Linked DNA regions of Tamandua tetradactyla. The protein of the gene in region 2 purifies or fractionates together with the protein of the main gene of each other region. This does not show direct contact. Links are inferred from orthologs where the notes say so. Each region holds a gene or a part of one and is shown on either strand. Other genes may lie near its edges.

The links.
Region 1: the proteins of DIS3L (region 2) and EXOSC4 purify together in Homo sapiens (affinity purification with mass spectrometry; 5 studies listed by BioGRID and IntAct, with this or other methods). This does not show direct contact. The link is inferred for Tamandua tetradactyla from reciprocal best matches to the Homo sapiens genes DIS3L and EXOSC4.

What each region holds. Positions count from the first base shown.
Region 1 is NC_135332.1:82,575,914-82,582,629, forward strand, and holds EXOSC4 (exosome complex component RRP41), read right to left. Parts: upstream 2,505-6,716; 5' UTR 2,394-2,504; coding exon 2,223-2,393; intron 1,265-2,222; coding exon 1,058-1,264; intron 964-1,057; coding exon 604-963; 3' UTR 566-603; downstream 1-565. UniProt on the Homo sapiens protein: Non-catalytic component of the RNA exosome complex which has 3'->5' exoribonuclease activity and participates in a multitude of cellular RNA processing and degradation events.
Region 2 is NC_135340.1:83,321,595-83,328,502, reverse strand, and holds the start of DIS3L (DIS3-like exonuclease 1), read right to left. Parts: upstream 3,024-6,908; 5' UTR 2,984-3,023; coding exon 2,845-2,983; intron 2,609-2,844; exon of another isoform or gene 1,807-2,608; intron 1,622-1,806; coding exon 1,468-1,621; intron 1-1,467. UniProt on the Homo sapiens protein: Catalytic component of the RNA exosome complex which has 3'->5' exoribonuclease activity and participates in a multitude of cellular RNA processing and degradation events.

The DNA.
Region 1 (6,716 bases), on a different chromosome or scaffold from region 2:
CTTGCTGAAGCAGAGGTTGCCTTGGTAGGACAGGGCGAGGGTCTATCTCAGTCTAGGGGGCAAATGAGGGGAGAAAACTGCAGTTGAGAATGGGTGCCTGTGGTATTTTAGGAGCCCAAAATAAATGGTTAAGATGCACTCCAGGAGCTCCTAGGGGAAGGGGGTCAGCCAGTCCAAGCTGTGGTCCAGAGGATATGGGAGAAGTCCCCTATCTCCATGGTGGATACCCAAGGCCCCTTGAATTCACCCTCAGCCCCTGTGCTTAGGGCTCTGGAAGCCAGGGCCATATCTGCTGGTGTGAGGATAACAGACTGTGTGGTCTAATGGCCTGGCTCATCCTGCCAAGGTAAGCTGCCTTGACCCCTTCCCGGCACACACTGTTCTCTCAACCCAGGGACCCCTCTTCTGGCCCAACTACATCTTCCTTTTCAGGGCTTCAATCCAGACACCCCAAGAGGTATGTGTCTATGAAGGGGGAGGGTCCTAGGTCACCTCCAGAAGCCAGCACCAGGGCAGGGAAGTGCTGTGAGGAGGCAGGGGATTGAAACACTGGGGCACATCCAGGTAGGGGAACAGGGCTTTATTCTGGGGGATGGCTGGGGGTCAGTCCCCCAGCAAGAGGGAGGCCTCCTGCACATGCTGCCGGACCACGCGGTCCAGCAGCGTATGCACGGCATGGGCAGCCCGAGTGCCAGCCTCCAGCACCTGCTCCAGGTGGTCCTCATGGAGCCGGGCATCCATCTCCAGCAGCGCAATCTGGCCTGAAGCTGGCAGCAGGGCCAGGGCCAACTGGGGTCCACCAGCTGCTTCCTCCACGTGGCTCAAGTCTGCCAGCGCTGTGCCATCCACAAACCCAGCTGAACAGGCACACACAAAGTCTCTCATAGGTATCCCAGCATCCAGCACTGCCAGCGTGGCTGCATTCACACAAGCTGCATAGGTCCCGCCATCTGCCTGCAACACCTGCCAAAGGGACACCAAAGCCATTTGTCCATGAGGCTGCTGACTCCCTACCCTTTGTTCCTCCTATCCAGGCTGAGGGCTGTTGCCTGCTCACTTGGACATAGATGTCAATCTGGGAGCGTGGGTGCAACTGTGTGAGGATGGCTGCCTCGAAGGTCTGGCGCAGCTGCAGGCCCATCTCATAGGACTTGCGGTCCCCATGTGGCCGTCGCTTGCGCTCACCGGTGCTGAAGGTGGCCGAACTGTACTGGCAGTTGACCAGCGCCCTGTCAGGTAGAGCTCGTGCCCGGGAGCCCCGGATCTGGGGGAAGGAAAGGCACATGAGCCAGCCCCCTCTTCCCAGTACACACTATCCTGTTCTGTGACTCACAGTCTTACCTCAGCTCTCTCTCTCCACCTCCAACTCTCAGCAAGGAGCACCTACATTACCTCCAAAGCATGCCCCCAGGAAAGGCCACTCCCCAGTTTCTAAGCCACTGTCTTCTCTGGCTGTGTATGCCTTAATTGGCTTTCCCGTTACCATGCTTCCTGACCCTGAGTATGCTTACAAATATCAAGTCTGACTCATTTCATGCTTACCTTTCAAAGGCTTTCCGTCAAACATAAAATAAAATCCCAAGTCCTTTCCTCTTTTGAAACCACTCAACCTCACTTAGAATTTATACCCTGTCCCTCACCTGCAGCCTTTGTGCCCTGCAAACATGCCTTGCTTGTCCCCACCCCTCCAGCCTTCATGTTTCTGATCCCATCGCCAGGGCAGCTGAGCTCCTAGACTCACACGCTTAAGCAGACATTACTTCGGTGCTTTCACGGCGGGCACTGTTCTGGCACTAGCGATAGGGCAATAAAACAAGTGGCACAAAAGTCCCTGTTCTTATGGAGATTACATTCCAGGGGAGGAGACAAACGATGAGGAGGTCAAAATTGATGTCTAAGGCGATGGGAGGGAAGGGGATGGGAAGTGTATGCTGGCAGGGGTGGGTATATGCCACGCGCAGACGGTGGTCTGGGAAGACGCGGCCCTGGGACGGCGACTTCGGAGCAGACCTGAGAGGGGCGAAGGAGGGAGCGGTGCAGCCGGGAGAGTACGGACGCCACCGAGGGCGAGCACTCGACACCTCAGACAACAGCAAGGAGAAGTGCAGGCCGCACGGGACGGGGGCCGACGACCACCGTGGGAGCGGAGGGGCGAGAGGCCCCGCGTGGCCCCAGTGCCCGCCGGGGAGCTGCCCGGCCCGCGCATTCCCACGCCCACTCGCCTCGTGAGGCCCGTACACCACCGCCAGCGCCTTGGTGTTGCCCTGTTCGATATAGGCGGACCCGTCGGCCTGCGCAAATACGCCCATCCGCGCCTGGATCTTGCGCAGTTCCCCAGCGCGCCGCCCGTCCACGCGGTAGCCCTGGTCCGACAGTAGCTCCAGCCCTGCCATGCCGACAGCCGCCCGCCCAAAATCCCCGCGGCGCGGAGAGCTACGGCACCCGTTTCCGGCCCCAGCGAACTACGGCTCCCGGCGGCCGCAGGTTCCACTTCCGGCCCCAGGAAGCTACAACTCCGGGCGGACACACCATTTCCGGTTCCGGGTAGCTGGGGGTCTTGACCCTGGGGATGGGGAGGCGGAGCTGCGGCGCTTTTGAAACTGGTCTCCCGCGGCTGCTGGTTCCCGGGCGGGGCGGGGCGGGGAGCCCCGACGAGGACGAAATCCCTCAGCCGCGTCCCCGCCCTCCTGCCCCGGGGGTGTGTCGCGGAAAGCCCTTCTCGCGGGCCCCGGGGCTCCGCACCTCCTGGTCTGCCCGCTGGCCCCTCGTGCCCCCGTCCGGCCCACCTCCGGCCCGACCCTCGGCAGCCTGGCTCCACCTTTCTTCTTTTTGGATGAACAACCTTCCTTAGCCAACTTCATCTGTTCGCTGTGTCGACGCCCCGCACGGGGCGGCGAGTGTGTTCTGAAGCCAGTTCTGCACCAGCATGAGTAGATTAACAATCGTCTCTAGCATCGACTTCGCTGGCCGGAGCCTGACCAAATCCTCCCCCCTCAGCCCCCGCGGGACGAGCCCCCAAACGCCCACTCCAGCTCTACCCCGCAGAAGAGGAAGTGAGTCAAAGCAGGTGGTTTGAAATAAAGTTTGTTTTTCCTTCTTCTTTTTTTAAAAATATGTGAGCCTGTTTTCCAAGCTCGGACAAATAGCGGCCGGCCCACAAGGGGTGGACATCCACTGGCAGGGTGGAGGGCCTTCTGCGTGCCCTGTCTCTGGATTCCCTTAGTCTGATGGGGGGCTTGTAAGATCAGTCCCTTGATCAGGAGCTTGTCTCTTTGTCTGTCTTGTTCAGTTTTGTTCACTTCAGGCTCCTGGTGAACCAGCAAAGCTCTTCACCACTGCCGTGGAGGTGGTGGCTATGTGTATCTCAGGCTACCTCTTCTTGTCCATAGCAAGTGGATAACCAAATATACCTTGCATTTCTGCCCATTGGGAGGTTTCCCTTCACCACTGTCCTTCAGCGCCACCCCCTCCCATATAGAAGGGCTGCCACGTGCAACAGGCCACCCATGACAAGTGCTGATCTGTCCCACTAGCCCACCTTTTTTTAATAATTTTTTTAATTTTTTTAAATATAAAAAAACCCACCAAATGAATGCAAGCATTCCTATTTTGATCATTCCATTCTATATATATAATCAGTAATTCACAACATCATCATATAGTTGCATATGCATCATCATGATCATTTCTTAGACTATTTGCATCAATTCAGAAAAATAGACAACAGAAAAAGAAATAAAACAAAAACAAAAAATTATACAAACCATACCCCTTACCCCTCCCTTTCATTGATTGCTAGCATTTCAAACTAAATTTATTTTAACATTTTCCCCCCTATTATTTATTTTTATTCCATATGTTCTACTCCTCTGTTGACAAGGTAGATAAAAGGAGCATCACACACAAGGTTTTCACAATCACACAGTCACATTGTGAAAGCTCTAGCATTATTCAATCATCATCAAGAAACATGGCTACTGGAACACAGCTCTACATTTTCAGGCAGTTCCCTCCAGCCTCTCCATTACATCTTGAATAACAAGGTTATGATATCTACTTAATGCGTAAGAATAACCTCCAAGATAACCTCTCCACTCTGTTTGGAATTTCTCAGCCTTTGACACTTTGTCTCATTTCACTCTTCCCTCTTTTGGTCTAGAAGGTTTTCTCAATCCCCTGATGCTGAGTCGCAGCTCATTCTAGGGTTTTTCTCAATCCTTTGATGCTGAGTCTCAGCTCATTCTAGGATTTCTGTCCCACATTGCCAGGAAGGTCCACACCCCTGGGAATCATGTCCCACGTAGACAGGGGGAGGGTGGTGAGTTAGCTTGTGTTGCCACTAGCCCACCTTTGAGTCAGATCTGTTGTTTCCTTCTCTGTCACCTGGCTGCTGGAAGAAGGCCATGGGTCAACGTTGATTGAAGAAAGGGTGTTGGCATGGCAAGTTACATGGGAGACTGGCCCACCTGCCAGTCATTTGTTCACATCTGAGCTGCTTGAGACAGGTAGTTGCAGGCGTCTCTTTTGAGGCTGGCTGGATGTTGACTGCACATGCCTGGCCTGTAACTTGGTGGACCAGAGACTGGCCAGGGTTAGCATTCACCATCACTTGTGTCCCAGGCCAGACCAGCAGTCTGCATGAGCACCTGCTTTTTTAAATTTAGACTACTCTGCTATGGGGGGCAGGGCCTTGCTCTGGAATCCTAGGGCTGGGCTCATCAGAGACTCCGTACTGCATCCACCCAGATATGTCCATGTTAGATCTGCCATGAAAAGTGAGTAGCCTTTGAGTTTCTTTACTAAAGGGCAAAGAAGAAAAATCATTCACTAAACCAGTGGCTGTATGTCAAGTACAGAGGTTGTGTGGATAAGCTCTAGTAAAGATACCACATTCAAAACAGTAGCTGTGATTAGGGTTACCACCTGCTCAAATTTACATCGGCCAGCAGGCCGTCTGCCATGATCCATTCGGTTTTCAGGATTACACAGGTGATTAGATGAGGATATGAGAGAGACCACCACCCCTGCCTCTAATTTCCCCAGGGTTAGGACATTGCTTTCACTTACTCTTCTGGTGGGGAAGAAACATTTTTGAGGCACTTCTACGTGTGTCTTCCTCTAATAAAGGCTCACCTCCACAGGTCAAGTAACCAGTGTGTGCGTCTTCCACCTTCCAGTTCTTTGGGGAACAAGGGAAATAGCCACAAAGCCCAAGAGCCCTTGGATCCACTTGGACAGATTTGGGGCAAAACCTGACCTTCATACATTCCCAATCTAATAGGAGAATCACGCTGATGCTTTGTGGGGCCCTTATGCAAACAATGTGATAGAAAATGTATTCAAATTCAGGGGCCACATGAGGTATAGTGACTTAGTGGTGAAAATTTAAGATAGTATTAGAAAAGAGGTAGCTATGCATTTGTTTATTGTCCAGTCAGTGCACAGAAAGGGTCTTTGTAGGGTCCGAGAACCATCGCTTCCTCTTCAGGTTCATTAACCATCATTTACGGTTTTTTATTGTTTATAATTATTATGTATCTGATGAACTGACCCTTTTATCATTATAAAATATCCCTCTTTGTTCTCTAGGAACATTTTCTGTCTTAAAGTCTGTTTTGTCTGACATTGGTCACTCCAGCTTTATTATGATGGCTGTTTGCATGGCATTTCTTTTTCCATTCTTTTGGTTTCATTCTATTTGTATCTCTGAATTTAAAATGTGTTCCTTGTATGGATAGTGTGTTTGGCTGGGGTTCCACCAGGTAAACAGAACCAGTAGGAGATACACGAGAGAGAGATGTATTGCAGGGAATTGGCTTACATGATTGCAGAGGCTGATGAGGCAAGTGCTAAATCCTAGGGCAGGCAGGAAACTCCCAGGCAGGATTTAATGATGCACTATACAGGCAGAATTCCTTCCTCAGGAGGACCTCAGTTTATCTCTTAAGGCCTTTCAACTGATTGGATCAGGTCACCAGAATTGTGGAGGGTAATCTCCTTTACACATAGTCAGCTGATTGTGGTTGTTGATCACAAGTATAAGTTTCTTCAGGGCAACACGTAGATTAGTGTTTGAGTATCTGGGTAGGATCGCCTATCTAAATTGACACAAAACCGACAGTTGTGCACACAGCCTATGATTGGATCTTGTTTATATATCCAGTCTGACAATCTGCCTTGTGATTAGATCTTTAGGTTCCTTCATATTTAACGTTATTATTAATATGGTTGGATTTACAGTGGCCATTTTGCTATTCATTTTCTCTATGTATTTTGTCTTTTTTGTTCCTGATCCTCCTTTATTGCATATTACATGGGTATTTTTAATGTGCCATTTTAATTCCTTTATTGATTTTAGCTATATTTTATTAGCTGTTGTCTTAGGAATTACAATATATGATTTAATTTATGGAATCTGGTTGTTTTTTTTGGCATGGTCAGACTCCGGGTATCGAACCTAGGTCTCTGGCATGGCAGGTGAGAATTCTGCCACTGAGCCACTGTGAGATATAGAAACTTAATTCCAGTGAGATATAGAAAATTTGCCGCATTATAGCTCCATCCCCTCCCCTCTTTGTGCTATAATTATCACATATGACACATCTGCATGTGTTACAAATAATGCTGCCCTAATGATCCTGCAGCCTACTGCCTGGGGTCTGTAAGTGTTATTTTATGTGCCATAAGCGCCTCAGGTTGATTGAAGCAAGGGCCTT
Region 2 (6,908 bases):
TATATTATCCTTCATGTGTCAAAGATGCTTTATGATTATCTTCTTGCTTTTTGCATCTAACCCCAACCCGACAATAGGTCTGTTGAGCAAAGTAGGGACTGTTCTCTTTTACTTTCTAAGGTCTGCAACTTGGAGCTCAAAAAGTGCTTATCAAATGGAAAAAGCAGGGTGTTGTAAGGGCCTGTTTCATAAGTCCTCATCTTTTGTTTTCACATTTAGAATATTCAGAGACACGGTAAACTACTTGAAAACCAATACTTTTTCATTGACGTAACTACTTTTGAAATGTTTAGGAGAAAAGACATTTAAATTCCAACTCGTTGCCTCTGAATGTCCCAAGAATTGGTTTTTAAAACAATCCTTAATATTAAAAATATTTCAGAAAACAGGAGTTGAAAAGGCTCAGCAGTGTGTTAGCAATTCAAATGATAACCACAAATTGATTTTAGTAGTAGAAATTGAAATATGACACCTGGAGCAGCATTTAAACTTGGATGTGTACAAACATCTATATCTTAGTGTCTGAGCAAAATCAACTTCAAGCTCATTTTTAAATATTCTATCTGAAAGACCTGCACCCAACCTTGTTAATGCACATTTTTTTGAACTGAGTACATAATAAAGACAATTTATCATTTTCATATAGAAATAAAAACATTTCATCTTTTACTACCAAGGTTGGAAGAAACCATAACATTTGAAAAAGAAGAAACACATGATTTCTGCTTTTTAAACAACTTGGGGAGTTAAGAGGTTGGATATATAATTTTAATATGCTATTTCCATATAGCCTCCAAGTTAAAATCGTAAACCCTTTCCCAATGTTAAATGAAGCAAAGCCATTTTTTTAGGGTCCTTATTTTAAACGTGGACAATTAGTCTTCACTGAGGTACAAGGCAAGTATTTTAGACCAGTAGAAATCAGAAATCCTTTGTTTAGCAAAGACAATAACTATGATTGATAGTTACACTAGTAATCTAAAAATAAAACAAGTTATTTCTGGTTTAAATGAATCAATGATTACGAGTATACTTTGTATCCACAATAAAGAAGTCTAAAATTTTTACATACTCTCTTTTTCCCAAAAAAAGAACGTAAGCTTCTGAAACAATCTCTCTACAAACAGGATTAAATAATAAACACTATCAACAAAATATAAATAATAACCCTGCTACTATAAAAATGCACACCAAAAGCCTTTTCTCACTAGAATCTTAAATACCCACATACTGGGGACACTGCAGTTTATTGATCTACATTTAGATCTTTTGGTCAGGTGTTGAAGCAGAAATATAAAATAATGTTACCGCATTCTTCACTAGCAAAGAGAATACCAAATGAGTTAAAAAAAAAAAAAAAGTCCTTTCTGACAAAATAACGAATTCCTTTTCTTCTCCTTTTCTAAGGGGGGGGGGTGGGGGGGGGAAATCCTCACCATAAATAAATAAATAATGCAAAACAGTTACCTCCGGCCTCTTTGATGCTGCACAGCTTGACAAGCCGTTTGCATAAAAATAATTCCCTTCAACTCAGGAAACTCGAGGATCTCAAGGCAATCTTGAACAATTTTCCAGTCTGGGATCACATAGTGAGTCACATCACTAGACAAGAGTTTCCCATCTGAAACATAATTCAAAAGTTAAGAGATTAGACCACATTTTCAAATCTGGTTTATTACTATTTCAATGTCATGGAGCCCTGGTGTGCAAAATAACTTCCAACCTTAACTACACTGTGAAGTTAAAAAAAAAAAAAAAGGACAAATCTACTTTGGTTGAGGTCCAAACTGCAGGTAAATTCAGCACCTTCAGTTTTCCAGAAGCTGTGATAAACACGCCGCTTGGTTTATGGTGTTGCCAGTTCTGCAGCGGGAGAATATGGCTGATTCTGTTTTTTCAAAAAAGCAAATGTTCAGCACAATCTGAATATTTCTGTCTCATCTCATCATCGACGTACGACCACATTCAAATGGGACAATTTCAAATGGGTTCTACTACAAGTTTTGGAACAAGCTCAAAAGTCTCTAAGGGGCGGAAGGATTGAACTGACCAGAAAAGATGCTCAGCGGCAGCAGTGGGCAGTGTCAGGGCTTGGGCACAACCCACGTTCCAGGGAACTGGTTAGCCAACCTGTCACTGAGGGCTTCACTTTAACCTCAAAACTGAGGATGGACCCACACACTCATTTTGCACCCGAGGCCAGAGAACCCGCAGTTCATCATTAATTCAGCCACCCTGGCAGCCCAGATATCGAGGTGGGCCGGGTCTAGCACACAGAAGTCCAGATGCAACCTTCCCACGGCCTTCCCGTACAACGACGCCACTCACTAAACCTACAGCGGAGAGGGAACAGGCTCCCCCGGACAGACGTCGGAGGGATCCGGGCTGGCCGGACGGGGCATTTGTAGAGAGCAAAGCAAGGAATGTTAGATGAGCAATGACCGGCAAATGTGTGCTCCGCGGCCACGGCTTTCCCGCAAGGGCTGAGCGCTCCCGGGATCTCCCCATGTCACACACACGCGCCACAGCCCACCGGCCTCTCCCAGCAGCCAGGTCACCGGCCTCTCCGCTGTGAGGACCCCCGGCTCTCGGCCCTTCGGGTTCACGAGGGGCTAGCGGCGCCCCGTTTTTAGAGCTCGGGAAGGAGTCTACCAGGGCCGTCTCTGCGGCTCTCAGCCCGCCCGACTCTCGCTCCGGCCCGCAGCGGGGCTGGAAGTGGTGCCTGGGCGCGGGCGGAGGCCCCGCGACGTCTGCCTCAGGCCCCCGCGGCCTCGCGCTCCGCCTCGGCCCTCGGCCCCGGCCCCGGCCCCGGCCCCGGCCCCGGCCCCGGCCCCGGCCCCTGACCGTTGCGGCAGGCTGCGGGCTGCGAGCAGAGCGGGCTGCTGCAGGGCACGCTGGGCCGCAGGTAATGCTCCCGCACGATCCGCAGCGTCCGGCCCTGGAAGGTTCTCAGGAGCAGCACCTTCTCCCGCTTCTGCAGCATGATGGCGGCGCTCAGGGAGCTGCAGGGGAGCCGCGGGCGCCGCGCAGGCCAGGCCGCGGCTCCGGGCCCGCCCCCTGGGCCTGACCGCGTGGGGCTCCCCGCCCGGCCGACCCGCGGCGGCCTGAGCGCTCCGGGCCCCGGAACCGCCCCAACGGCCCTGGCCCGGGCCCGGCCCCACCCCGCCTCAGTTTCCCTCCACCCCCCAATTACGCGGAGACAGGGAGGGGCGGGAACCACCCTCCCAAAAGGGTTTACTGGAGACAAGGGTAATACAGAGGCTGGTTTAAATTTATCGGAAGAAATATTTGCTGCGACTACAGAGGATCATTATGCCTCGTTTCTACCCCAGAGGCCTCGTGGAAAGGGAGTGTTAACATGGGATGATTATAAGTGTTTTCTGTTCAATGCTCTTGCTATCCCTATAAGCTAAAAGATTCAGCAAATAAGCTAGCCACGCTGCCAGTTCAACTTTTTTTTTTTAAAGATTGTATTTATTTTAGATATCATGTATTTTTAATACGTATAAAAATTCAAACAATGTAGATAAAGTGAAACTAATCCCTTCCCTTGAGCTAAATGCTATCTACTCAGGCCCAACATTTATGGCATTTGCAGCCTCTGGCAATGAAATTATCTTTTAAACTACTCCCGATATAATCACAATTTACATTTTTGTAGCTGTTATGGAGATCTTCTTCCAAGGATTGAACAAAAACTTTTGAGCAATATCAACAGCTTTACACACAAGTGTCACGTTCAGTTTCCACAAGTCAAAGGAGTTGGGCATCATTATCCCCATTTTATGACTAGGACGCTTAGGGAGGTTAAGTGGCCAAGGCTGCCCAATTATTAAATGGTAGAATCAATACTCAAACCAGAATCTGGCTGAATCCAAAGCAGGCTTTTAACTAATTACTGTGCTTTACAAGATGAATAAAATACAGCTTTGCCTCTAAGGAGTTGATGGTCTGCTTGGTGACTTCTAGTTAAGGCAGTTCAACCAGCCCGTCAGGAACATCAGAGCTTCTTATGATGCTGAAGTGAGCAGAACTGGGGGTACCCTTTACTTACTTCATTCTAGGGAAACATATTAAACAGAGTCATGGTCCCTCATATTTCTATCTCAAGTAATCTTGCAGTGTGGATGATGTGAGTGAGATCAGAGATGAAATACGTGGAATTGCACTCATCAGGGAAACAGCGCAGTGCTGGTCCACCAGCCACAGAACCAGGAGGGTCCATAAGGCAACCGACAAGGGAATCTTGTGGTGCAGGAGGCCCTCCCTAACCCCGAGGTCCGGCTTTAGAGATCCTATGGGACAGGCAAGTAGCCAGATTTGTCTGCATAAAAATGCTTTAGACATTTGTCTACAATTCCCTCCAAGGCTCTGTTATTTTCATTTTTCTCTTACTTTTGATTATATCAGAGAGGGCAGGGAATGTTGATTAGATATTAATATGTCCTTTATATCCTTTTTTGCACTTTGTAGCTTTAAACTTTCTCCAAATTGGGGCGATCTTTTAAGGAAGAGAGATTATCTGGGGCTTCTCTCAAAGTTGAATTTTTTTTTTCATATTTTAAATAAGCGCATCAAGTACTTCTTTGACTTGTGGCAATAATGTATAAATTATGTTTTTAAAAGCATGATTCCTTCGTTTTTGGAACTGATGATCTAAATGCACAAGAATGCCCTTTTGTTTGTTTACCTCACAGGCCATGTGCTGCCTCCTGCCTGAGAAAAGTGTCAGCATCAGCCAGGATAAGCTAGGTCATGCTGCAATAACATACAACCCCACAAATCTCAGTGGCTTAAAATAACATGTTTATCGTGGGTGCCCAGAAGCTCTGCTCTGCCCTCTTTCTTCAAGATTCAGGCTAATGGAGTTGGTCCTCTCTGGGATATTGTTTGCTGTCATTGGCAGAAGGGAGACAACCCTCTAGGGAACTTCACACTGGCAATTAAGATTCAGTCAGAACTAGTAGAACACATACCCAACACTGGGAGTTGGGTAGGGCAGGAAGTGCGTTCCCACCTGTGGCTTGAAGGCAGAGAGCTAAACCTTTTGGTGAAACAGCACTAATGATTACCTGAGCTTCCTGACTCAAACCCCTTGGCCCAAAATGAGTTAGTCTGCTCTGCTGTCCTCCTAACCCTTGCTGTTTGTGACTACTCCTCCTCAGCCCACGATTTAGTCTCTGCTTGGGCATTTTATGCTCATCTCTTTTTACTTACATCATCTGTAATCTTTATGACAATTGTCCAAGGTAATATGTGATTTCCTGTAGCAGAGACAGGCTCTCTGTTTGTTAAATTCATGTTTTCTTTATCATTATTATTTTTAAAATTTTATTGATAAAACTTAACATGCTGTGCCAGTTTGAAAAGGTGTACATACCCTAGAAAAGCCATTTTTTAATCCTAACCCATTTTGTGGGAGAAACGGTTTCTTCTAATCCCTATTCAGGACTGTATGTTGGAAACTTTAATTAGATGATCTCTATGCAGATGTGACTCAATCAAGAGTGGTGGTTAAACTGGATTAGGTGGAGATGTGTTTCCACCCATTCTAGGTGGGTCTTGATTAGTTTACTGGGATTCTGTAAAAGAGGAAGCATTTTGGAGAACGTGGGAGATGGAGAGAGAGCAGAGAAGAATGACAGAGCCACGAGAAAGGCACAGCAGAGAATGCTGCAGAACCACGAAGCAGAGTCCACCAGCCAGCGACTTCTGGAGATGAAGAAGGAAAACACCTCCTGGGGAGCTAGAGAGGAAGCTAGCAGATGACAGTGTTCACCATGTGCCCTTCCAGCTGAGAGAGAAACCCTGACTGTGTTCACCATGTGCCTTCTCACTTGAGAGAGAAATCCTGAACTTCATCGGCCTTCTTGAACCAAGGTATCTTTCCCTGGATGCCTTAGATTCGACATTTCTGTAGACTTGCTTTAATTGGGACATTTCCACAGCCTAAAAACTGTTAACTTGCAACTTATTAAATTCCCCCTTTTAAAAGCCATTCTATTTTTGGTTTATCGCATTCCGGCAGCTAGCAGACTAGAACACATACTAATATACAAACATTCTTAACATACGAACATTCCATATCTGGAATCAGTAGCTCACGAGATCATCACATAGTTGTGTATTCTTCACCATGATCATTTTTTTGAACATTTGCATCACTCCAGAAAAAGAAATAAAAAAGAAAAAACTCATACATACCATACCCCTTACCCTTCCCTCTCATTGGCCATTAACTAGTATTTCCATCTACCCAATTTATTTTAACCTTTGTTCCCCCATTATTTGTTTATTTTTTATCCATCTCTCCATACGCTAGATAAAAGGAGCATCAGACACAAGGTTTTCACAATCACACAGTTACCATGTTTTCTTTTTTGACAGACGCACAAATGAACCATGGTTTCCAGCCTTTCTTGCAGATAGGTGTGGCAATGTGATTGTGGCAGAATGTAGTGACACCATCTGCAGGCCTGACCTGTGAAATCCTCCAGTGCATGTTCCTCCTTCCTTTTCCGCTGGCTGGATGCCAATACCCAGGGGATCTTGGAAGGGTTCCTGAAGGACTGTGTGGAGCAGAGCCCTGCCTCCCTTACCCAGGAGCATCTGCAGTGGACTCTTTTATAAGGGAGAAATGAACTTCTATTACAGCAGCTAGCATTACCCTAACTCATACATCCCCCCTTGACAAAGAATAAGTAACTTGCCCAAGAATTACATGGCTATTTGCTTTAAAAACCCTCCCTAGATATTAAACGCCCTAATGAAACTATCCAAGGATTTCTACAGCAGTTCTAAATTGTACAGGAGGGAGGAGGCCATCAGTGGTCTACAGTGCTCTGGTTTGGTCTGGGCTGCAGTGCCCTAGTAGGACCACACTGGGCCTGAGCGCTGCAGAGGATACT